Canis lupus familiaris: one gene and its partners. The protein of the gene in region 2 interacts with the protein of the main gene of each other region in a pairwise test. Links are inferred from orthologs where the notes say so. Each region holds a gene or a part of one and is shown on either strand. Other genes may lie near its edges.

Evidence for each region.
Region 1: the proteins of TNFAIP3 (region 2) and YWHAH interact in a two-hybrid assay, tested with the Homo sapiens proteins (2 studies listed by BioGRID). The link is inferred for Canis lupus familiaris from reciprocal best matches to the Homo sapiens genes TNFAIP3 and YWHAH.
Region 3: the proteins of TNFAIP3 (region 2) and TRIM23 interact in binary tests that used the Homo sapiens proteins (3 or more experiments, as listed by UniProt). The two-hybrid records come from large-scale screens. The link is inferred for Canis lupus familiaris from reciprocal best matches to the Homo sapiens genes TNFAIP3 and TRIM23.

The regions. Positions count from the first base shown.
Region 1 is NC_049247.1:25,192,283-25,200,036, forward strand, and holds the start of YWHAH (14-3-3 protein eta), read left to right. Parts: upstream 1-2,880; 5' UTR 2,881-3,072; coding exon 3,073-3,159; intron 3,160-7,754. UniProt on the Homo sapiens protein: Adapter protein implicated in the regulation of a large spectrum of both general and specialized signaling pathways. Binds to a large number of partners, usually by recognition of a phosphoserine or phosphothreonine motif.
Region 2 is NC_049222.1:30,481,955-30,489,806, forward strand, and holds the start of TNFAIP3 (tumor necrosis factor alpha-induced protein 3), read left to right. Parts: upstream 1-2,618; 5' UTR 2,619-2,754; intron 2,755-3,715; exon of another isoform or gene 3,716-6,108; 5' UTR 6,109-6,123; coding exon 6,124-6,418; intron 6,419-7,852. UniProt on the Homo sapiens protein: Ubiquitin-editing enzyme that contains both ubiquitin ligase and deubiquitinase activities.
Region 3 is NC_049223.1:50,587,937-50,595,481, reverse strand, and holds the start of TRIM23 (E3 ubiquitin-protein ligase TRIM23), read left to right. Parts: upstream 1-2,671; 5' UTR 2,672-2,747; coding exon 2,748-2,828; intron 2,829-7,545. Other genes in the region: TRAPPC13 (trafficking protein particle complex subunit 13), read right to left, coding at 1,909-1,954.

The sequences.
Region 1 (7,754 bases), on a different chromosome or scaffold from region 2:
CCAGGAGAGGATGGAGTAAGAAAAGCAGAGGGCCTGGGGCAGAGCCCTGCAGAACCCCAGTATTTTAGGGCAGGCCGAGAATACAAGCCCACATAGGAGACCAGAGAAGAGGAACAACAGAGCAGCAGAGGGAACCCAGAAGAATACAGGGTCATGAAAGCTTGGAGGAGAGCCTAAGAAGGGGGAGCAGTTGTGCCCAGTGTATTCAAAGGGGCCACGAAGGTGAGAACTATTAAATGACCTTGGAGTGACAATAGGAGGCCACTGGTGGCCACAGTGAGAGGGAATAGAGTAGGAACAGACCCAGAATATACTGAGCTTGAGGGATGGTGGGAGGTGAGGAAGTGGAGGCAGCGAACTTTGGTAAAAAGGAAAGAAAAGCTTCATGGGAGAACCAAAGCGTCCCCCATTTGACAGAATTAGAATGCCCTAGTCTACCTAATTTTCACTGTTTTGAAATCAATCTGAGCCCAACATGACCAGAAAAGCTAGAAGGGCTGTAACCTCTCTAAGAGCTGGAATGAACCACCGAAATCCTCCCGTCAGCACTGACCCTCCTCCCACCTCTCACTGGAACCCCATTTTCATGGAGGGTGGGGTGGACAATTAATTATCATTTATCATGTTCTTTAAAGATATCCACCAGGGGAAAGATCAGCCTAGTTTGTTAACCTCAATTCCATTTGTAGTTAGCAAAGGTGACTCTTTAAAGCACGGTGAGGGATCCCTGGGTGGCTCAGTGGTTGAGCATCTGCCTTTGGCTCAGGGCGTGATCCCAGGGATCGTGTCCCATGTCGGGCTCCTTGTGAGGGGCCTGCTTCTCTCTCTGCCTATGTCTCTGCCCCTCTCTCTCTGTGTGTCTCTCATAAATAGATAAAATCTTAAAAAAAAAAAAACAAAGCACGGTGCAACCTGCAGTGGGAACCTTCTCCCAGATGCACACTCAAATCCTGTTTCATGGGTACTGAGGTCCTCATTATAGCATCACAGTGAGGGGAAGGTGGCTCAGAGGCAGGAGACCTAGTATGGGGACCCCAGCTCTAACTCACTGTGCAAACTGAGGTTCACCTCTTCTGCCCCTAGTTTCCTGCCTCAGTTTCTCATGGGATAAAGGGTCAGATGACAGTGACTCTAAATGTCCTGGCACCTTGGACATTTTAGGATTTCTCTTCTACGGTGCATTTAACAGTCTTTCAGGTTTAATTGCTAGATAGTAAAACTAAGGTCCAGTTCCTGTCTTCTCCCTGCAAATGCATCTTACTCTTCAGAGCAAGATTCTTGGCTCAAAATACGACTTCCACACCTCTTCTGGTTCCCAGGGATCCAGGGATAATGAGTCAAATCTTCAGACTGGCACTTAAAACACTCCATTATTTCATTTTGCCCAACCTCATTTCCCACTGCCCACCTCTCAGATTTTCTGTCCTCACTGCCAAGCCTTTGCCTGTGCTGGACCCCACTCCCTTATACCTTTTCCGTCTCATCTCCCACAAGGTTCAGCTTACCTGCACTTACGTATTTAGATATAGCTTATGAGACAAGAGGATGTATCCTTATTCTGTAGCTACTCCTTCCCCCAGTGCTGAGCACGCAATAAAATTCTCAAAGAGACTAAGGTCCCTTCTCCTGTGCTACCCTTGGGATACCCTTGTACTTGAGTGAGGCTATGTTTCAGTCATTGAGATTTTCCTAGTTTGTCCGAGGCCCAGCCTCGGGGCCTGGCATGAGCGGCCCTCAGCAAAGAATGCCACAAGTGGGGCGCCTGGGTGGCTCCGTGGTTGAGCCTTGCCTTTGGCTCAGGGCGTGATCCTGAGGTTCCAGGGCTGAGTTCCGCATGGAGCTCCCTCCCTGCAGGGGGCCTGCTTCTCCCTCTATGTCTCTGCCTCTGTGTCTCTCACGAATAAAAATAAAATCTTAAAAAAAAAAAAAAATGCCACAACTGGGAGGGCTTAGAGACCAGTCAGCCCATCCAACCCCCTCTTTGCCACAGAAGGAAGTTCAGACTGGGTTTGAACTCAGATCCTGGCTTCACCACATACAGGCTGTTTTAACCTTGAGCAAGTCATTAATCTGGCTTGAAAATGGGGAGACCAGCTGTGCCCACCTGAGGGGTGTGGGTTGAGAGGATTATGTTTATGCCGATACGGGCCTACCACTGGGCTGGGTAGGTAGGTCGTGGACATTACTCCTCCCAGCCCCCCCCCCCCCCCCCCCCCGTCCCTCCTCTGGTGGAGGCCCAGGGCTGCAGCCCGGTGGGTGTGAGAGGCGGGCGGGGTGCTGTCCGCAGAGTCCAGACCCGACGGTGCCCTGGGCAGCACAGATGCTCCCGGTGCAGGGCGCGTCCCCACGGGATCTAGGCCTGCAAGGCGGCGGGGCGGTCCCGGCCCGCCCCCTGGGGCACACGGCCTCCTGGCTTCTCAAACCGTACGGTTATCTGCTTTTTTGGGTCCTTCTCAAGGCAGACCTCCAACCTGGCCTCAGAGACGCCCTGCGAGGAGGAGCCATGGCACTGAGCTACCTACGCAGCCGCCGTCACCGCGCCCCCTCCCGGGCCCGGGCCCGGGCTCCGCAGTCCCCACCCCACTCCCTTCTCCCACCTCCACCTCTGCGGCGGTAAAATGCAGCACTCGCAGAGCGCCTGCGCAGCTCCCGGCCCCGGGGGGGGGGGGGCGGCGGCGGAGGTGGCGGCGGCGGCTATTTATAGTAGGTGACGTCACCTTGAAATAGACCGTTAGGGCCGGCCCGCCCTTCCCCCCTCCCACTCCCGCCGCTCCCCGCCGCCCGGCCCGGCGGCTCCCACTGCGCAGGCGTCCTCCGCCCTCCCATCCCCCCCCGCGCGGCCGCCTGTCCTCCCTCGGCGGCGGCGGCGGCGCGAGCCACAGCGTGCGGGGCGAGCCAGCGAGAGGGCGCGAGCGGCGGCGCTGCCTGCAGCCTGCAGCCTCGGCCGGCCGGCGAGCCAGTGCGCGTGCGCGGCGGCGGCCTCCGCGGCGACCGGGGAGCGGACGCACGGACCGGCGAGCGGGCGAGCGGGCGAGCGGTGCGGGCGCGAGGCGAGGCCGAGCCACGAGCGACATGGGCGACCGAGAGCAGCTGCTGCAGCGGGCGCGGCTGGCCGAGCAGGCGGAGCGCTACGACGACATGGCCTCCGCCATGAAGGCGGTGAGCGCGCCGGGCGGCGTAGGGGAGGGATGGGCGGCTGGGCGGCAGCTCCCTCCGGGCCCGGGCCGATCCCGCGACCTCGCTGGGCGCGGCCGCCCGCCCGGAGCCCGCGCTTCCCGCGCCGCGCCGCGCCGCGCCGCCCCGCCATTTCCTGCGGCCGGGCCGGGGTGGGGTCGGGGGGGACACGGCCCCTCGGGCACGGTTGGGCCACAGTGGCCCCTGGCGGGCGGGGTCGCCGCGTCCCAGCTCGGAGCCGGGGTGGGGGGAGGGGTGCCCGCACTCCTCGTCCTAGACCGTTCCGCCCCGGCCGGGGCTCCCCTCCCTTTCGCCTGCCTCCGTAACCCCAACTTGCAGTACGGAATCACCCCGTGAGCGGCTCCCCGCCTGCCGCGACCTCAGTCGGCGAGATTCCGATCCGTAATACGCCCCGCCCGCCCGCATCGTTCGCGTTCCGTCTTCCCACGCCTGGCTCCGGCTTTGTGTGCGAAGACCCCCCCCCAACCCCACCCCACCCCACCCCGCCCCCCTGCAGTCTAGACGTGCACGCCAGCGCGAGGGCGGAGGGCGGAGGAGCGCGGCGGGTGTGGGACCCCACTCCCAGGTTTTCGAGGCAGCGGGCATCTGTCCGGAGATCAAATGGGACGTGACTTCTTGGCAAGACAGGGCTGTCTGTGCCTTTGCCTTCCCGAGACCCACCCGCCTCCCTCGTCCCCCCTCCCCCCTCCCTAGATTGATTCTGCAGCTTGATTTCCGGCGAAGGAGTCGTGCCCAGCCACACCCTAGCACATACCGTGATCAGGCACCTGCATAGATGAGTCCCCGTTATCCTCTTACTGCCCCTCTGTCTTCTAACTTTATTTTACGTTTTCTCTAAATGAACATTACTTCTCCGCGTCAAGGTCACACAGTGGTAGAGCTACAACTGACGGCCACCAACCTGCTATGTTCAACCAGTGTACCTCATCCTCCGGAGACCTGGGAGGATCCGCCTGGGCCCCACCTTAGACCTAAAGATTCTGCAACTCTAGGGGTAGGACTCCGAAATCTACACCCTAACCAGCGCTTATGGCCATCTTTAGCAGGCTGAAGCTTGACAATTACTCGACTTAAGGCTCGCTTGTCCTCTTGCTGGCCTTGTGACATTTCTCATTCATCTACAAATTGAGAGGCTTGCTAAAATTTCAGAATCTTTTGAAAAGCTGCTTTTTCAAAAGCTGCTTTTAAGGCTTTTGATATTAATATCATTTGAAATATGTTGAGGAGGTCAGTATTTAGGATTAACCCGCTAAGGAAGACACTTGAAGAGGTATCTTTCCTGTGGTGTCCTTGTTACACATGGCACTAGGTGTGTTTGGAAACCACTACTGCCACTCATTTGTTGATTCATCGGTGATCCTGATCCGAGCACTGGCATGGTGTCACGGGTTAGATAGTCTAAACCAGGGACACTCTAGATCTGGGATCTGAATGAAGTCTTTATAATTCAGGGGACCTTCTTTAAGGACGTAAATGTAAAAATATATTAATTTTGCAAATTTTACAGAAACAACTGTAAATGTATTTTCTCTGAAGGTTCTGAGCTTAATTTCCTTTGGGATAAGAGCCACTTCCGTTCACACAGCAAGCCACACTTGAATGAGTGTCTTTTTCCCCAGTAACAAAGTGGTAATAGGATTGTGCAGGCTGAGGCCTCTCTAGACGTTTTAGTGAGGCCCTTGTTCACCCAGTGAATGGGGCTTAAATAAAGGTGAGTTGAGTGTCTAGGAAGAACATTCTGGAGCTCTGGGAAACCTAAGGCACCTTGAAATGGGAAGTAGGGAAAGGGTTGAGAGATGTAACTAGAATAAAATACAGTTTAGAGAGAAAAAAAATTGGCTTTCTGGTCTTCATAAGCAGGCTTGAATCATGCTATCCTGTAGCTAGAAACTTAGGTTCACAGATTTTCCCTGAGGCCCAAAGGTAGCATTTTGCAAACTAATAGACCCTTCTGTGTGTTGAGAATCTGTAATATCTATCTGAAATGATTGATGGGTTGGATAAGCCATCCAGCATTGAAAAATCAATCCAAGCTCCAATGATGTCATCTGAGAATTGTGATCAATCATTCCCTCAATGTAATTCCTTTTAAAAAGTCAGAAATTCTTTTGTCATCTAAATTAATGGAATATATTCATTGGAAAGGACTTTGCAAGCTTTAGTGGAAGACTGTTTCTTAGGCTTTACCTATTAAGTTGATATTTGTACATTCTTAATGTCCTTGGGGAGACTCAGTCCCCATTTTATTAATATAGTAGGCTTAAAGTAGAGCTTTGGAAAAAGGGAAACTCCAGTAACCCTTTGGGTTTATGTGGGCTTTCTTCAGGGTAGTGGAAGGGAAGGTAAGTAGACTGCTCTAGGGTAGATGGAGCAGCACGCCCGAGTGAGGAGATGTTCTGATGTCACCACTCTGTAACCTCGAAACTTAACATCTCTTGGCTTCCAGTCCTTTGCAGGGTAAAACTAGTAATGTTGGGGTTACTATCAAGTCATTTTTCTGTCTTTATTCTTCTAATTTGTTTTCTGTTCTCTTTATAATTTAAATGGTCACCTAATAATAATGCCTGCCTGTAATCATTGATGTTCATATCAGCATCACCTGGAGGATGGTGTCGGTAAGCTTTAAGAAAAATCATGCGTATTGGAAACAATGGTGTTGCCTCAAGTCACTTGAGAACCGAAGTTCCCTGCCTTACCCCATCCTTTGAAGAGGCAAGAAATCCTTCTGAAGTGAAGTAAAGGAGGGTCTTCAGGATCTCTTCATCTCCTACCTAGCAGCTTACAAAGAGTGTAATAGTGGAAAGAAGCATTGTGAAAGATTGTAAGAACTTAGGTCCTCTCTAGGCTGGGCTTGGAATGACCTTACCCAAATCGTAACCTCTGAAAAACGGATACTATACCATCTTGTGAGAAAGTGAAATAAACTGGAATAAACCTGTAAAGGGGGATGAAAGTGTCCGTGCATTAGACTAAGTGATTTAAGGAAAGAGTGTAAATAACCAGATTACTGGTGAATGAATACTCGTGGGTAGACGTAATTCATTCACATCTCTTATTGCCTTAAGTCATCTATTTTATATAGATTGTAATTTTGAGTTTATAAAACATCAGAATTAGTTACGAAAGCATGGTGTATTTTAACATTGATACACAGTTGATTACAAAAGTTGGCAAAGAAAAAACAAAAAAAAGTTGGCAAAGGACAGAGAAATACATCTGAAGGCTTGAAGAATTATCTATAGAAACCTTGAGTGCAGGAACAAAGCTGCAGCTTAAAGAAACAGCCTGAGAGGAAGAGGCACTTGGCCTAACCAGTGGCAAAAACTCTTATTCCAACAGCTGTGAGTTTATGGGAAGTGGGGGAATGAGCAGGTGGTGTATAAAAGGAGAGCTCGGCTGAGTTGCTCAGAGTGAGACATAACCCGTGTTGCAGATATTAGAACTAAGGATGATTTTGAGGTGTACCAAAATTGTGGTTAGTGTGAAATCTTAAAGCCACATCAGTGCTGTAGTTAGAAATACATATAAACTAGGGAGTACTATTTCCCACCAAGTGGTCATTTGTAATGTAAGTATTGCTTTGCCATATACTGGCTGAGGAAGAAAAGGTTCTGGATTCTTGCAGTAGCCTGAATTAAAAGGACTTCAGATGGTGAATAGTTCAGAGCCTTGCCTGGAATTTCATATTAGTGGTAGATGCAGTGCCACATTTTCAGAAATGGTTTGGGAGGAGACACCCCAAATGTGTTTCATCGAGTTTATGGAACTTAATCATTTTCCGAATAGCCATTCAGTAAATGGTTGCTGTTACTCCATGTGTACATTCTCAATTTTCATAACTCTGGATGGGCTAACTCGGGATAGTTAACTTCGTTTTACAAATGAGATTTATTTATTTTATTTTTTTTTAAAGATTTTATTTATTTATTCATAGAGACAGAGAGAGAGGCAGAGACACAGGCAGAGGGAGAAGCAGGCATCATATAGAGAGCCTGATGTGGGATTCGATCCAGGGTCTTCAGGATCACGCCCTGGGCTGCAGGCGGCGCTAAACTGCTGCGCCACTGGGGCTGCCCTACAAATGAGAATTAAAGAGGTTAATTTTCTCGATGTCAGGTTGTAAAACCAAGATTTGAACTCTTTAATTTAGAACTCTCACTTTAACCTTGCAGGCCCTTTACACAGGTGGGCTTAGTGAACAAGTAATTTCATCTATCAGAAGTCATTTTTGCCAGGTTTGACTTCAAACAGAATCTACCACTGTGGTTCTTAGCTATAGCAGGGGAGTGTAAAAGGCAGTCTAACACATGGGATTTGCTTGTTCTCCTGAAGAACAGGAGTTGTCTTTTTTTTTTTTTTTTTCTTAAGCTTAAGAAGCAAAGTATTAATTGAATTTGAATTCTTGCTATGAATTAAGAAGTGCAGAACTATGTTAAGTTGTACTTGGGGTATTTTAAGAAATTGCTTGGCACAAGTTTTAAGTACATTTTATAAGCTGATGAGTCCTAACATTTCATTAGCTGGGTTATTGGTAAGATTCCTCCCAGTATCCAGGTTGG
Region 2 (7,852 bases):
TCCACTAGATGTTAATAAGCACACGTTTCTCTTTGCAGAGCTCTGTTCATCTTGCTAGAGACTATCACAGAAATTAAAGTGCCTTGCAAGACTTCGGGGGCACTCTATATCTCTCCAAATTTGATATTTCCTTTCCTGTATGCCCATATGGAGTCTCTCTGTTCCTCTTCCACTCTTCCTTCTGATTTACCACCGAGAAAATCCTTATTGGTTTGGCCCACGTGTTGTTAGAAAGGGAAACGTGTATGGCCAGAGCTCTGACTTAAAAGACAGAGAGGACAGTAAACTCTAGGAATGGGCAGGATTGAGGATGCTTCCTCAACAGAGAGTCAGTCCAGCAGAAGAACTGGGGAAAAGGGGAGAGAGCAAAACTGAGAGTTACAGACCACTCCTGCATCTGACTGCTATGAACTCATCACAAATCCCAGCAGGCAAGACGGTATAGTGGCTACTATGGGACACCTGAAGTGGCAGATTCGGTCATGGTCTTTCAGGCTTGTTACTCCTGCTATTGCATCCCCACTCATCAAACCAAGCAGCAGATGTAAACCTAGAGGGGCAATGGAAGCTACAGGGGAGGTTGCAGGGCCGGAGCCAGACAGGAGAGAGAGCAGGCAAATTCTTTTCCCAAAGGAGCACAAGGGGACAGTGGTCTGAGGGTGTTCTTTCATGTATACCATCTTTTATCATCTCAGCTAGCCCAGAATATTTCCTGAGGATGGAACGAAGGCCCACCTGGCTCCCAAGCTCACCTTCTGCTGCTGCCCAGCACCCACCTTTGACTTAGTGACTGCTGTGTGTTTGTGAGGCTGGGGGCCAGGGTAGAAACAATGGCCTTGAGATTTTAAGTCTTGGAGGATCTTTTCTGAGAGTAATATTTAAGACCCAACAGCGTTTACCTTGGAGTAAACAGGCCCAGTTCCAATCACGGCTCTGCCACTGACCGACGGTGTAGACTTGGGGTAAATGGCTTAAGCTTCTTACACTTTAATTTCATAGCTTCAAAGTGGAGTTGTTTTGAGGCTTAAGTGGCAGAGTGCCTTTCAAACACTTAGCCTAGAGAGCGGCATATAGTAAGGACTTAATAAACATTATTATTATCATATTCCCTATGCGTTGTTTGAGAGTTGGTAGCTAAAAACATTTGTGAATGAACAGCTTATACCAGCAGGTATAAGAAGAAATGCCAGGAGGTTTGGAGTTGTCAAAAGTCCCAGCCATTGGTTTCAAATGGCCAGCACCAGCCTTGGAAGCTTGGCCACTTCTGACTCTCCGCTCTGAGTGTCTCTTTGCCAAAAATGTGCCACCTGGTCCTCATCCAGTCCTCCATCCAGTCTCTGCAGGTCCTTACTGGAGAGGAAAGCATATTTTTCTAATTCCAAAACTGGGATACGAGGCCCAACTAGTATAAGTAAGTCTAGAAGGGGACAATGCACAGAATATTTCAATCTGGTTCTAGTTTAGCTATTCTAAGAAATGCGCCAAGGGGGACTCTTAGCCAGTCAAAGTGCCTGCCTCTCCCTCTGCAATTCAGGCACCTCCACTGTCCAAGTGGCTGACACCTATTTCCACAGGACGTCCTTTGGGTAAAGACTGCGGGTTACCACACTATTTAATAAGGGGTGGGGGTCGTGGGTGGGTAAAATGTATTATCAGCCCTTGACACCTTGGCCTGAACTAATTGTCAGGTCATGAAAAAGAGCTCCTAATAGGGCCTTAGGGGGGCCACGCAAGGACAGTAATAATGGACTAGAAATGATTTCTAAACCGAAATGTTCCTGCGTGCCGAGCCCCCTGGGCACCTGGTGTGCAGGAAGGGAGAAAGGGAAATCAGTAAAGTGCAGAACAGGGCTGATAGTTGCTCTGATTCCCAACTTCACCTAAGATAGGTTTTGCTCCTGCAAATTTCAAGGCTGTGGGGCCTCAGGAGGTCACCCCCAACAGGCCGCCGTCTGGGCGGCAGAACGCTGGGATGGGGACGCACGGAGGGTTGTGAAATCCCCACCGGGGCCCAGAGTAGGGCGCTCCCCGACGAGCTCATCACGTGCACAGCCCTAGCTTTTCCAACCCAGCCCCGAAGGCTGCGGTCCCGGACGCCCGGGTGGTTTTTAGGGTTTTCTTTCTTTATTATTTCCCTTATTGTTCTCCACGGTTGGTGATTTTCTGCAGAAAAACGGCTGAGAAAAAAGAACCTATTTCATTTCCAGTTCCCATCACCGCGATTTCCACATGGATGTGACGTTGGGCCAGCTTCCGAAATGCCCAGGTGACTCACGCGGGGACACCCGGGGGCGGGGCTCAGGAGTTTCTCGCGCGGGGGGGCGGGGCGGGGCGGGGCGGGGCGGGGCGCCGCCGGCCTCCTGCGCCGCCCGCGCCCCCTGCGCCCCCTGCGCCCCCTGGCGGCCGGCGACCGCGGGGCTCGGCGCCGGCCCGGGCGTCACGTGACTGGAAAGTCCCCGGGTGGAAATCCCCGTTCTCCGCCGGCGGTAAAACAGAAAGGGAAAAAGAGAACTGGCAGTCTGCAGTCCTCGCAGCGGGCCGGTGCAGCGCGCTCGGAGCCCGCGGGGGCGGAGCGGTGACAGCAGCCGCCGGGACAAGTGCGGCGGCGGCGGCGGCGGCGGCGGCGGCGGGCGCGAGCCACACAGCCCCGCGGCGAGCGAGCGCCGAGCCCCGGCGTCCATGGGGCGCCTCCTCCGCGCGGCCCGGACCTGACCCGGACTTGGGACTCTGGAAGAGGATCGCGCGGCCGGACAGGTAACCGCCGCGTGCCCGTGCCTCTGCCAGCGGCGTCGCGGGGCCCGGGCTGCGCGGGTGCGTCACCGGCAGCTCCTCGCGGGCGGGAGCTTGTCGGCCCGGGCCCGGCCCGGAGCTCGTCGGCCGTCGGCGCTCACTGCGGGATGTGAAGTGCTGGGAGTCGAGGCGGCCGCGCACGACGCTGGGGTGACAGCTCGGGAGCCCTCCGGCCAGCTGTTCCTTGTAGATGCTGCCAGGAACGTAAGCTGCAGCAGGCGGCTGGAGAGGAGCCCCCGGACGGCCAGGTCGCGTGGTCCTCGGTGCTTTGCCCCTTTGCGTGCCTTTTTTATTTTTCGATCAAGCTCTGGATGCTCGCGGACACGGAGACCTTGCAGAGCCGACCCGCCGTGGCTTCTTCCCGGCGGGTGCAGAGCCAGGCCACCCGCCGGGCGGGGGGGGCGTGGGGGCCCGGGCCAGCCAGCCTGCCCTGGGTCGGCTTGCAGACCCCGCAGCCCAGTGCAGGGAGGCGGGTGGGCGGAGGGCCGGTGCTGAGCTGCTGCAGGCGCCGCAGTGCGCGAGGAGTGTGCATGCTCAAGCGGGACGTTGGCCGGCTTTTCGGGTGCTCCAGTGGACGGCGACCTGGAGGCCCCTGCCCCAGCCCCTACCCCACAGTCAGACGGTCGTTGTCAGCCCGGGTCGTCCCACATCCTGCCACCTGGCCTCTCAGGAAAGCAGTGGTATTAAGTAAGGAAGGAGCTCAGCGCTTTTGAGACCGCTTTGTTTTCAGTTCTCCCCGCCTCTGATCTTCTTTCCTTGGAAAGCTGGTCTGGTCAAGTGTCTCAGGGCAGCCTTTGGGGAGGACCGTGGTTCATCAGTCCCCTGGACCTTAGCACTAGTGTCTGCAGTTGTTACGCAGCCGGTTATAGCTCCATTCCCATCGTCTAAGGTGCTTCTTTGTTTTTTGTTTTTTTTTTTTCTCTTTTTAACAATTCTGTGTACAAGTTTTGGAGTTTAGGAGTGAGAGTTACCAAAAATTCGATGAGGCATTTATTGATTTAAAAAAAAAAAAAAAAAGTCAGTGAGGTGACAAATGTAAAAGAAATGGTAAGGGTGATAGCATATGTCTTTACCTGTAAGGACGTTACAGTTATAGGTCAGGAAAATTTATTCTTTCATCTTAAACGTGGAGAAGTCCGAGAACTGGGAACTTGGCTGGTGGGTTCTAATTCTTTTCAGGAGGCGATCGATTCCACAGTGTGTGCAAGGCTAAAACTATGAATGAGATGACCCAGGGCTATACAGTACTGACATTTGCATGTCTTACATATGGCAAAGAGCGCTTGTGCTATTTGAGGTCTTTGCTGAAAGATCTTTAAATTAGAAGAGATTAAGAGAAGATTCGGAAAACTCAAAAGGCAACACCTAGCTTGTTTCAAATCTTTTTGCTTCCGGCCTCTTCCCGTCTGGCAGCAGCAGGCACAGGGATGGTGTTGTGGGAACTGCAAGGGGCAGGTGTTGGAAGATCTGGCTTCCAGGCAAAGCTGTCTGCCTTGGGTGGTGTGGAACCTGAGCAGGACCCGTGCTTGTGTTGCCATGGCTGTGGACAGGGAATAAGGGCACCTGTGATTTTTAGTCCCAGCATCCAGCATGGCTCTCAGCAGGTGAGCAGGCAGTGCTTTTTAAGCAATGGACAGATGAATGAGTGATTGTGAGACTGGCCATGCCACAAAGTGGAAATGGGTGTAATGTTTTTATTGCTTCATTATGCTTGTGCCCTGCAATAATTTTGCCCAGTTCCACCTTCAGGGAACTGAAGGAAAGATTACCAACTGGCCCAGAGAATAACTTCTCCCAGGCCTCATTGACAATCAGATTTGGAATCCTGGTCCAAAACTATCACCAGAAAACTCCTCAGAAGCAACCTTGGGTCATCTACTTTAACCTCTCTATTTTGGACCACAAGTTTTAAATCACTTCATCAATGGCTTTAAGAGAGCCTAGACCCACCTAGGAATGGCTTCCCTAAAATCTAGGTTTCTTCTCACTCTTACACAGGTTTCAAGTCTTCCTCAACTAGAAGCTTGCCCTGGCAAATAGTATGGTGCAGGAGTGAGATTAGCAATCTCCATGAAACTTCCTAGGGAATGTCTTCATGCTCCAAAACCATCTTTGCCTTCATCTTGGAAACCAAGATGTATGTTGGGGCACCCTGCTAAGGCTTGTGGCTTTCCACACAGCTCCACACTGCAGAGATCCCACGTTGCATCAATTCACAACATCCTACGCTATTGGCATGGGTTGTAGATGCTGGGTTTTGCACCACCCCCCTCCCCCCGCTTCCTTCATTTATCATGAGCATCCCCCTGGCTGAAACATCTTTCCTTGCCCATTTCCAGACTTTTATTTCCTTCTACCAGCAGATTATGTTTCAGGATTCCAGGGTGAAGACAGGGTGGGAAATGCATTTGAGTGTTGGTACCTGGACAATGATAATAAATGTAGTTAAGTTGAAATAATTGAAATCTAATGCCTGCTCTCGGAAGTGTAAAATTTATTCTTGTATTATTATTATTATTATTATTATAATTCTATGTCCTATTCTGATGTTGTGAAGTTCAGTGGAGAGGTTCTGAAAGACTTTATCATTGACCGTTAAAATTGCAAAGCTTCTTACTGGAAATAGGCTTTTTCATTGGTTCTAAGATATTCAGTTTTAACTTTTATAAATATTATAATACATTTTTATAAATAAGCTCTTGATAAATATTTCTCTTCGGGGCTAAAGAGGAAACTCTAATCAGCAGCCTACGTGACAACATAAAATTGTGAGATTTTCCACAAAACATTTATTCTGCAGTGTAGGGTGGGAGGGCTTAAAAGAGATAAATTAAGGCTTTGCCTAAAAGCCAGGGCTGCTCAGCAGTGGTCTTAAGGGAGAAGCTAAGGACTTGTCAGGGCCACCTTGTGCCCGTCACTGGCATTCAGAGCTCCGAAGACCCAGTGGCTGTGTCAGAGTGGCATGCGAATGAGAGGGGAGCTTGTTGGTTATGAGGTGCAGTACCTGTTGCCGACGGATGGGCTTGGCTCCCTGACAGACGTTACTGAAAACACGGGTTATTCCCCTCCTCCTCAATACCCACTCCCCGCCTTCCTTCTCTTGTTTAGACTAATCTTTAAAAGTGATGTAACTTAAAACAGTCCAGTGTGAGTTAATCTCGGGGGCCAGCTAGTATCCTGGAGTAGAGGTGACTAAGATCTTTTGCCTACAGATGAGGCTAATGACAAGATCAAACACTGGGGTTTCCTGCAGGCAGGTATATAGGAGTGGTATCGAAGTCGGGCTAACGGAATGGGTTTTTCTTCCCTCCTCTTCAGGTGTTGCAGAGCACGATGGCTGAACAGCTCCTTCCCCAGGCTTTGTATTTGAGCAACATGCGGAAAGCTGTAAAGATACGAGAGAGAACTCCAGAAGACATATTTAAGCCAACCAATGGGATCATTCATCATTTTAAATCCATGCACCGATACACACTAGAAATGTTTAGAACTTGCCAGTTTTGTCCACAATTTCGGGAGATCATCCACAAAGCCCTCATTGACAGAAGCATCCAGGCCTCCCTGGAAAGCCAGAAGAAGCTCAACTGGTGTCGGGAAGTCAGGAAGCTGGTGGCACTGAAAACGAATGGTAAGAAGCTTTTGTCTAGGGGTTGGCTCCCACAGTACTGGATCCCCATTCATCAAAGTCTAATAGCACTGGTCCAAACTCAAGCCTTTTGAGAGCATAACCACCTTAGTATAGAATACTCAATAAAAAGCATGTGATAAAAGCAAGCTTGTATACAGGTGTTTTTATTAAGGATATTTTGTAGTTGTGCATATTAGAGAGCAGAACCACTCAGGCTTGAGGAATGCATCTCTAAACACGGTGCCTCCCATTAGGGGACTTAGGTATCTTAATTTTTGTGGCTATTTGTGTAATCATTTGTAAAATACCCTTTCCTGGCCAGTCATGGAAACCTTAAAAGACTTTAAGTTCAAAAGGAAAGCATGGTGTGAAAATTAGTATTACTATTGTCTCCCACAATCATTAGAAAATGTTCATAATGATGACCTTACATATTTTGAATTGATGACATGTTATGGCTTAACCAGTGAATGGCTGCTGTCTGCCTCTCCCTTACCTAGGTTCTGTTGGTTTTGGTCCCAAGATACAAAGTAGAAAGATACTTGAGATTTTTAGCCCAGATTTAGAGGTCTCTAGGTCTTTACTGCACTATTTTTAGGGATTCCTAGTTCTGAATTTCTTGTGTCTCTCTGTGTGTATCTACCTATTGGCCCTTTACTACTGGTAGTTGTTTCCTGTTCTAAACTTCACTGTTTTGTTTTTTGATTATTACCCTTGAGCAAGAGTATGTGTATCATGGCAACATCCGAGCCTACGAGATACAAAATCCTACGTTATAACATCACTGATTATTACAGCATCAAGTAGACTGTTCACCATCAATTAAATGCTTATAGTCTAGGTGAGGGCAGAAATCAGGTACTTATATAAGTAACAGTCCTTCTTTAAGACCACCTCGATCAAAATAATAGCCCTAAGCATAGGAAATCCTTGTCAGTGAGAGGATAATTAAGTTAGTTGATACCTTAACTTTGGACATTTTTGAGTTGGGTCATGTGGAGTGATTGGAGATACGTATTCTGGTGGGGGGGTCTTGTGTATAATTACTACAATATCTTGCATCTTGTACTTTTGAAGTACAGATTCTTAGAAACAAAAGTAGAATGAAAACTGGGGAGAGCTAGTGTTTACATTGTTCTTGGCCTTAAATCAAGTGATGCGTAGAAGTGGGTAATTATGTTAAGTCATCATCAAGGGGTTTATATTCCTGACAGCTTGTGGTTTTAACTCTCTTCCATTTTGTTACCAAAAAGACAGAGTGAACGTTGGGAAAGTTGGAAACAGATTAGAGATGTGGTAGGAAAAGGAAAACCTTCCGATCTTTAACAGAATTAACTGACATTTTAGGTTGAACTTCTGCCTTAAGAAGAAATGAATGTAAATAGTCAACACTTGTCTTGCCAAGATAAGTCATTAAAGTCAACAAGGATTCAT
Region 3 (7,545 bases), on a different chromosome or scaffold from region 2:
AATATGAACCTAAACACAGAGAGCATATTCTTAAAAGCATTAATAATACTTTTATTTTTTCCTTTCCTTTTCCTTACATTGTAAAATATGGCACTGAGAATTCTTCTTCTTTTTTTAAAGAACTTATTCAACATTGTATTCCAAGGATGATAAGGTTCGGAGAGCTTCTTAGTATTTTACATATATAAGAAACTTAAATGACTATATAAATTGGTACACTTGGCATCTAATAATTAGTAAAATTAAAATCTGTGACAATTATTTTTTTCAGTAATTTTTTTATTTTTTAAAGTAACCTCTACATCCAATGTGAGGCTTGGACTCACTACCCCAAGATGGAGAGTCACATGCTCCACCAACTGAGCAAGGCAGGTGCCCCACAACTTGTGAAAATTCTTGAGTAGCAAGGGGGAACAATGATACCGAGGAGCTTTAATAAAACTGAAACTATCAGTGAACTTCACAGCACTTGTCCTCTTAGGCTGCTAAAATACTCTTTCCCAGGTGATCTTCTGTTTCAGGAAATAAAGAATAATAGAAAACTAAAAATACCCAATGGCACTTAGCTTCCACATCACTGCAATGTAACTTGGCGTTTAATAGCTTTCAGTTTGCGTAAATTGATACCCAGCAGCTAAGAGAACTGTTTCAGATTCCCCGTCATAGTAGTTAATGGGAAAATGTTCTCTGAAAATGCAGCCTCCTCCATTAGGAGGCAACATGGAGTCTTGGAAAGGTAAAGGCCTTGGGCTAAAATATTGCCTCCAATCGCTTTCTAGCTCTGTGATCCTGAAAGTCTCTTAAATTTCTGATAGATATTAAGTAAAATCTATTCCACATACTTCACATGAGATTAAGAAGAAGAAGAAAAAAAGACAGTTTCTTTCCCTTCTTCTATATAAGAACCCATTTCAGTCTAGCTCATTTTCTCAGGCTGAGCTTCCAGATCCTATTGCTATATTATTTAATACAGTTGTTTTCTGGGATCCCTGGGTGGCTCAGAGGTTGAGCATCTGCCTTTGGTTCAGGGTGTGATCCTAGGGACCCGGGATCGAGTCCCGCATCAGGCTCCCTGCATGGAGCCTGCTTCTCCCTCTGCCTGTGTCTCTGCCTCTCTCTGTCTCATGAATAAATAAATACTTAAAAGGAACTTTAATATCGCTTTCTAATCCTACAGCCAGAGATAAACCTATTATCCTCAGCTAGGAGTATCTGATTTTGTTAGGGATGGCACTGGTGAGCTTCTGGAACGTCTGATGCTCACATCACTGAAGGTCAGTGCAACTTAACTGAATTCAAGTAATCTATTGAGCCTTTTCCCAGCTCAGTCCAAGAACTTATTGGTGACCACACAGTAGAGGAAGGGAGGGAGAGAGGGAGGGAGGGAGGAAGGAAGGGAGGGAGGAAGGAAGGAAAGAAAGGAAAAGAAAGAAAAAGAAAAAACACGTTTGTGGAAGCAGAAGAGAAAATAAAGCTGAAGCTATCTTAAACAAAAGGTTTTCAGAAAACAGTAAGAATTCCAGAAAAACGCCGCCCTGTGGGTTTTCCCCTAAATCATCAAATTCACTACAAGTTTTCTTGCCATGCACAGAAAACGGAGGTTGACATGAACTGTCCCATCCCCACGACACCCCCTGCAGCCTGGCAGGTGCAGCAGTACCACCTCCGGTGATTTACCAGGTTATCCGTTCCTCTCTAGGGAGAGGCCGTCAGACCTGAGAGCCCCAAGGAGAAGAACCCCCTCCTTCCGCTCGTCGCCCCAGGGCAGGGCAGGGCAGGGCAGGGCAACGTCGAAGGAAAAGACGAGGCCTGAGTCCCCGGGACCGGGTCTTTGTGGCAACGACTTCGAGAACCAGCGAGAGAAGAGGACAAAACAGACTAGAGGGAGTCAGGTGCGTAAAAGTCTACCTTTCAGGGCCAGCAGGTGCTCCTGTTTGGGGGGATTCACTTCCATCCTGACCGGCGCTACCGACCCCCGGCCTACGGCAGCCGCACAGGTTCAGCGCAGCCCGGAAGCGAACGGAAGAGCCGACGTTCGCGAAGCTCCACCTCGCTCCCCACGGGGTTCTCCGCGCTGCTGCCGCCTTCAAGTCTCTTCTTTATCACGTCCTTCACGGACGGACTCAGCGGCTTCCTTTCACCGAAGCCATCCCTCGCTCCTTAGACACCTGTCCATTACATCCCTGTCTATTTCCCAGCGGCAGTCACGCATCACAATTTCAAGAAACCACTTCTCGGTGACAGCGCGCAGCGTCCCAAAGACTTGCATCGCACAGTGAGGGGGGGGGGGGGGGGGGGCGCGGAGGATTTTGCATGCTGGGATTTGTAGTTTATAAGCAGAGCCGCATTGCATGCAGGGAGATGTAGTCCACTCCCCATCCCGCGTCTCGCCTGCCATTAGGCGGAGGTGGTGATCGAAGCGGGGGCTTCCCCTCGAAACTTGCTTCTTGCTTTATCCCTTCTTTTTTTTAAATTTCCTTTATTCGTATTCCTTCCGCCAGTTGCAGATGCAGACCGCATCTTGAATAAGAATACAAACAGCAAAGCGTTCAAATACACGAGGCGGCGCCGCCGAAGAGGTAGGGACTGGCGGAAGGAGGGGGGCAAAGGTCAGCCCCGCGGCGCTCCGCGCTTCCTACTGCGCCTGTGCGCCGGCGGCGAGCGCGGAGGCCTCTGGGTAGGCGGCTGGGCCCCGCCCCTCCGTTGGAGGCCGTGACGGCTGCTCCTGCGGCGCCGCTCCGCGTAGGATGGCTACCCTGATTGTAAACAAGCCTGGAGCGGGACTGGACGCTGGCCGGCAGGGCGGCCGCGGGACGGCCGTGGTGAAGGTGAGGGGCCTTGCGTGCTGTGTTCCCCACCTGCGGCCTCCCCTGGGTTCGTCCCTGAGGTCTGGCGGCCGCGCTCCGCCGTCTTCGCTGGGCCTCTGCGCCCCTCCTGGCGTCACTAGCCCTCCCCTCCCCTCCCCCGTCCGTTCTCCTCCCCTCCGACAGATCCAGGGGTGACTGCCTTTTTAGCTCTGGTTTTCATTATTGCCCTCCTCCTATCACCAGACGTGTGGTGTTGGTTAGTCGGGCCCCTCCTCGCTCGTGAGTACGGACTGTCCACACGTTTGGGACGCGTCCCAGCAGCAGCGTGGCTGGGCATTGGGATATGGGGATTGCCCTGTGCTTCAGGTTCCAAATTCTAGTGTGCTTACATGCTTCAAGATTCATTGATTAAGAAGTCAGTTGGGAGCATCCCAGGGGGCTCAGCGGTATAGCGCCGCGTTCGGCCCAGGGCGTGATCCTGGAGACCCGGGGTTGGGGTCGAGTCCCATGCCGGGCTCCCTGCACGGAGCCTGCTTCTCCCTCTGCCTGTGTCTCTGCCTCGCTCTCTGTGTCTCTCATGAATAAGTAAATAATAAAATCTAAAAAAAAAAAAAAAGAAAGAAAGATCAATTGAAATACGTGGGATTCATCCTTGCCCTCCACTCTAGACCTATGGGAAAGAAGATGTGCAAGGGAGAACTGATCTCAGTGTCTTGTGATAACTTTCAGGATTGTTGTAATCTGAGTTATTGGTAATTGTCATTACTGGCTACATAGTAGAATGAGGACTTTTTTTTTCTTTTTTTTAAGATTTTATTTATTTATTCATGAGAAACAGAGGCAGAGACACAAGCAGAGGGAGAAGCAGGCTCCATTCAGGGAGCCGAATGTGGGACTCTATCCCAGGTCTCCAGGATCGTGACCTGGGCCGAAGGCAGGTGCTAAGCCGCTGAGCCCCCAATAACTGAGAACTTAAACAAACAAACAAACCCTGCTGATACACACCTCCTCCCCCAGTTCTGATTAACTTGACATCAGCATTTTTTTTTTTTTAAACATCCCAGAAGCGGGGATCCCTGGGTGGCTCAGCGGTTTAGCGCCTGCCTTTGGCCCAGGGCACGATCCTGTAGTCCCGGGATCCAGTCCCACGTTGGGCTCCCGGCATGGAGCCTGCTTCTCCCTCCTCCTGTGTCTCTGCCTCTCTCTCTCTTTCTATGTCTATCATAAATAAATAAATAAATAAATAAATAAATAAATTTTAAAAATAAAATCAATCCCCAGAAGCGATTTTAATGTGATTTTAATGGTTGAGAACCAATATTCCAGATAATATCTGAAGTTATTTTAAGATCTTGGTAAGACCCATCTGTGATTCTTCACCTATTATTAGTCTCGTATGACAACAAATGCTACAACATTTCGGCTCACAGGTATGCTATCACTTGTTGATGGCTTTTAATTCGTCTGGCCTTTGTGTATTAATAAAGGTACCCTGAAGGTACACAGCTTTATCTGAGATACAGAGGGGCACTGTTGTTAGGCACGTTGTATGATCGGAGTCTTATTTATTAAATTGTGCTTTATCTAAAAGAGGATCCCTGGAGATTATTTTGTGAATTATACTGAATTAAGTTGTAATTACAATGGATATTATTGGTGTATCTATTATTGTTACTCTAGTTGCCTTAAAATCTCTCTCTCTCTCTCTCTCTATATATATATATATATATGAAAGCCTCATATGACTCAAATTTGTTACAGCACAAAGTTTGATATGTTAGAGGTTCACTTTGTGTGTTTTTTGTCTTCACACATAGAATGTGCCTGAGCTGTGCAGGAGGGTAGTCCTTTTTGTCAAGATCCTTATGCCGTAATTTGTAAGGGGTATGATGGCATAAATTTTTAAAAATCCGACTAATTGTCATTTTTGTAGATGAAAGCAGAAATTATTCATTGGAAGGTAAAAGTTGAAGTCTATAATGTGAAAATGTGAAATAATGTGTTTAGTGAACGAGTTGATAATGACAGGGTTTTTTCAAATTAGAGAAGTCAAAGGCAAAATTTGACATTATGAAATTACTTACATTCTAAAAGAAAAAAATATCAGGAAAGTTTTTTTGTTTTCGAATTTTTCTTAATTTATTTGAGAGAAAGAGCGAGCGTGAGTGTGGGGAAGGGGTAAATGGAGAGGGAGAAGCAGACTCCCTGCTGAGCAGGGGCCTGGATTTGGGGCTCCATCCCAGGACTCCGAGATCAGGACCTGAGCTGAAAGCAGGCGCCCAACCTGCTCAGCCACCCAGGTGCCCCAGGAAAGTTTCATTTGCAGAGTGAGTCTTCTTAGTCTGGTTAGGGTACCTGGCTGGCTCAGCTGCAGGAGTGTGCTACTCTTGATTTTTGAGTCATGAGTTCGAGCCCCATGTTGGGGGTAGAGATTATTAAAAAAATAAGAACTTAAAAAAATATGGTCTGACTTATTAAAATTTGATTTACATGTGATATTAGTTTGAAGCTCCATTTGACATATTTGTGAAGTTGATAAAATTAAGAGCTTTTTTCTTATTTAGGATTTAATTCCTTGTGCTGTTAACCACAGTTCCTATTCATAAACACTGAAGGAAGAATATCTCACTCTCTTGTTTATTGAGTTGATGTGAAATAGTCTAGTAAGTTTATTTTTGGACTCGTGTTTGGTTTGTAAATCTGTGGTATATTACCAGTGCTTTTTGAAAAAACCTGTGGTAGCAACTCAAGTTCTTTCATCTTGTGCAATTATGGGGTCAGAGATAAAAGATATCAATGCACTAAAATTTATTTTGATTCTTTGGAGATTATGGTCATAAATTTATTGTATTACAAAAATAAGAACATATATAAAAATGTTGTATTTATTTTATATCTAATTCTATTGTATCTTTTCTGTATCTGAATGAATTTGATATTTAAGCGAGGATATTATTTATTTATTTTTATTGGAGCAATTTGCCAACATATAGCATATCACCCAGTGCTCATCCTGCCAAGTGCCCCCCTCAGTGCCCATCACCCAGTCATCCCCACCCCCCGCCTGCCTCCCCTTCCACTACCCCTTGTTCGCTTCCCAGAGTTAGGAGTCTCTCATGTTCTGTCTCCCTCTCTGATATTTCCCACTCATTTCTCTCTTTTCCCCTTTAATCTCTTTCACTATTTTTTATATTCCCTAAATGAAGGAGACCTATAATGTTTGTCCTCCAATTGACTTATTTCTTTTTTTTTTTATTTTTTTTATTTTTTTTTTCAATTGACTTATTTCACTCAGCATAATACCCTCCAGTTCCATCCACGTTGAAGCAAATGTTGGGTATTTGTTGTTTCTAATGGCTGAGTAATATCCCATTTTATATACACATCTTTATCCATTCATTCATCTTTTGATGGGCACCGAGGCTCCTTCCACAGTTTGGCTATTGTGGACATTGCTGCTATAAACATCGGGGTGCTGGTGTCCTGGCGTTTCACCGCATCTGCATCTTTGGGGTAAATCCCCAGCAGTGCAATTGCTGGGTCATAGGGCAGCTCTATTTTTAACTCTCTGAGGAACCTCCACACAGTTTTCCAGAGTGGCTGCACCAGTTCACATTCCCACCAACAGGGCAGAGGGTTCCTCTTTTTCCACATCCTCTCCAACACCTGTTGTTTCCTGTCATGTTAATTTTGACCATTCTCACTGGTGTGAGGTGGTATCTCATTGTGGTTTTGATTTGTATTTCCCTGATGGCAAGTGATGCAGAGCATTTTCTTATGTTAAGCGAGGATATTTAAATGAAACTTCTGTCCTGCCTTTTTAAAAAATGTAAGATACATTTAAGTGTCTGTGTATAATACAATTTATGTGTAACTCTTCCCATCTGTTTTCCTCCTCATAGGGAGCCATTTACTATTCCAGTGTAATCCGTTTCCTGTGTATACTGCTAGAAAGATAGTGTGCCTGTATAAAAATACATATATAAATATATGCTCTTTTTTCCCCAGCTTTATGCAAAAGCTAAATATTCTATGTATTTTTCACTTTTCTTTATTCATATGAAACAATTCTGTGTGTATACATAAGAAACTACCTCTTTCTCAACAGACTGCGTGGTTTTGCAGTATATGAATATACTATAATTTATTTTCCAGTCTATACTGATACCTATTTATTTTGTTTCCCATCATTTGCAAATGCAAATGGCGCTGTGAGGAATGATCTAGAGATCTTGTCACACCCTTGTGATATATTTGTCAGATATATTTCTGTAAATACAACTATTAAGCTAAGTAAACTTTTGATAGGTATTGTTAAATTGCCTTTCTTAAAGCCTGTTTTAGTAAACATTTCACAGCAGTCAGTAAGTTTAAGAATATCTGTTTTCCCACACACTTGCCGACACAAAGGATTACACAAAGGGTTTTCCACCTGTTTGATCTAATCTGAAAAAATATATTGGTTTAGATTTAAGTGCGTTTCAAAGTGCTTTGACTGAGATTGAACATCTTTTCATATGTTTAAAGAGCTGTTTTTATGTCTTTTCTCTTGATATGTATGTTACATTTAAGCCTCTTTTGAACCATACTGGGGTGTAAGCCAATTATGAATGATCAGTTTACAGTGAAAGTTTGTATTTTATGCACGAAGTCCAAATTAATTAGAGTTGATTTTAAATTTTTAATGGATTAAGTAAGTCTTATTTCCATGTGGATTTTCTTTTTTTTCTTTTATTTT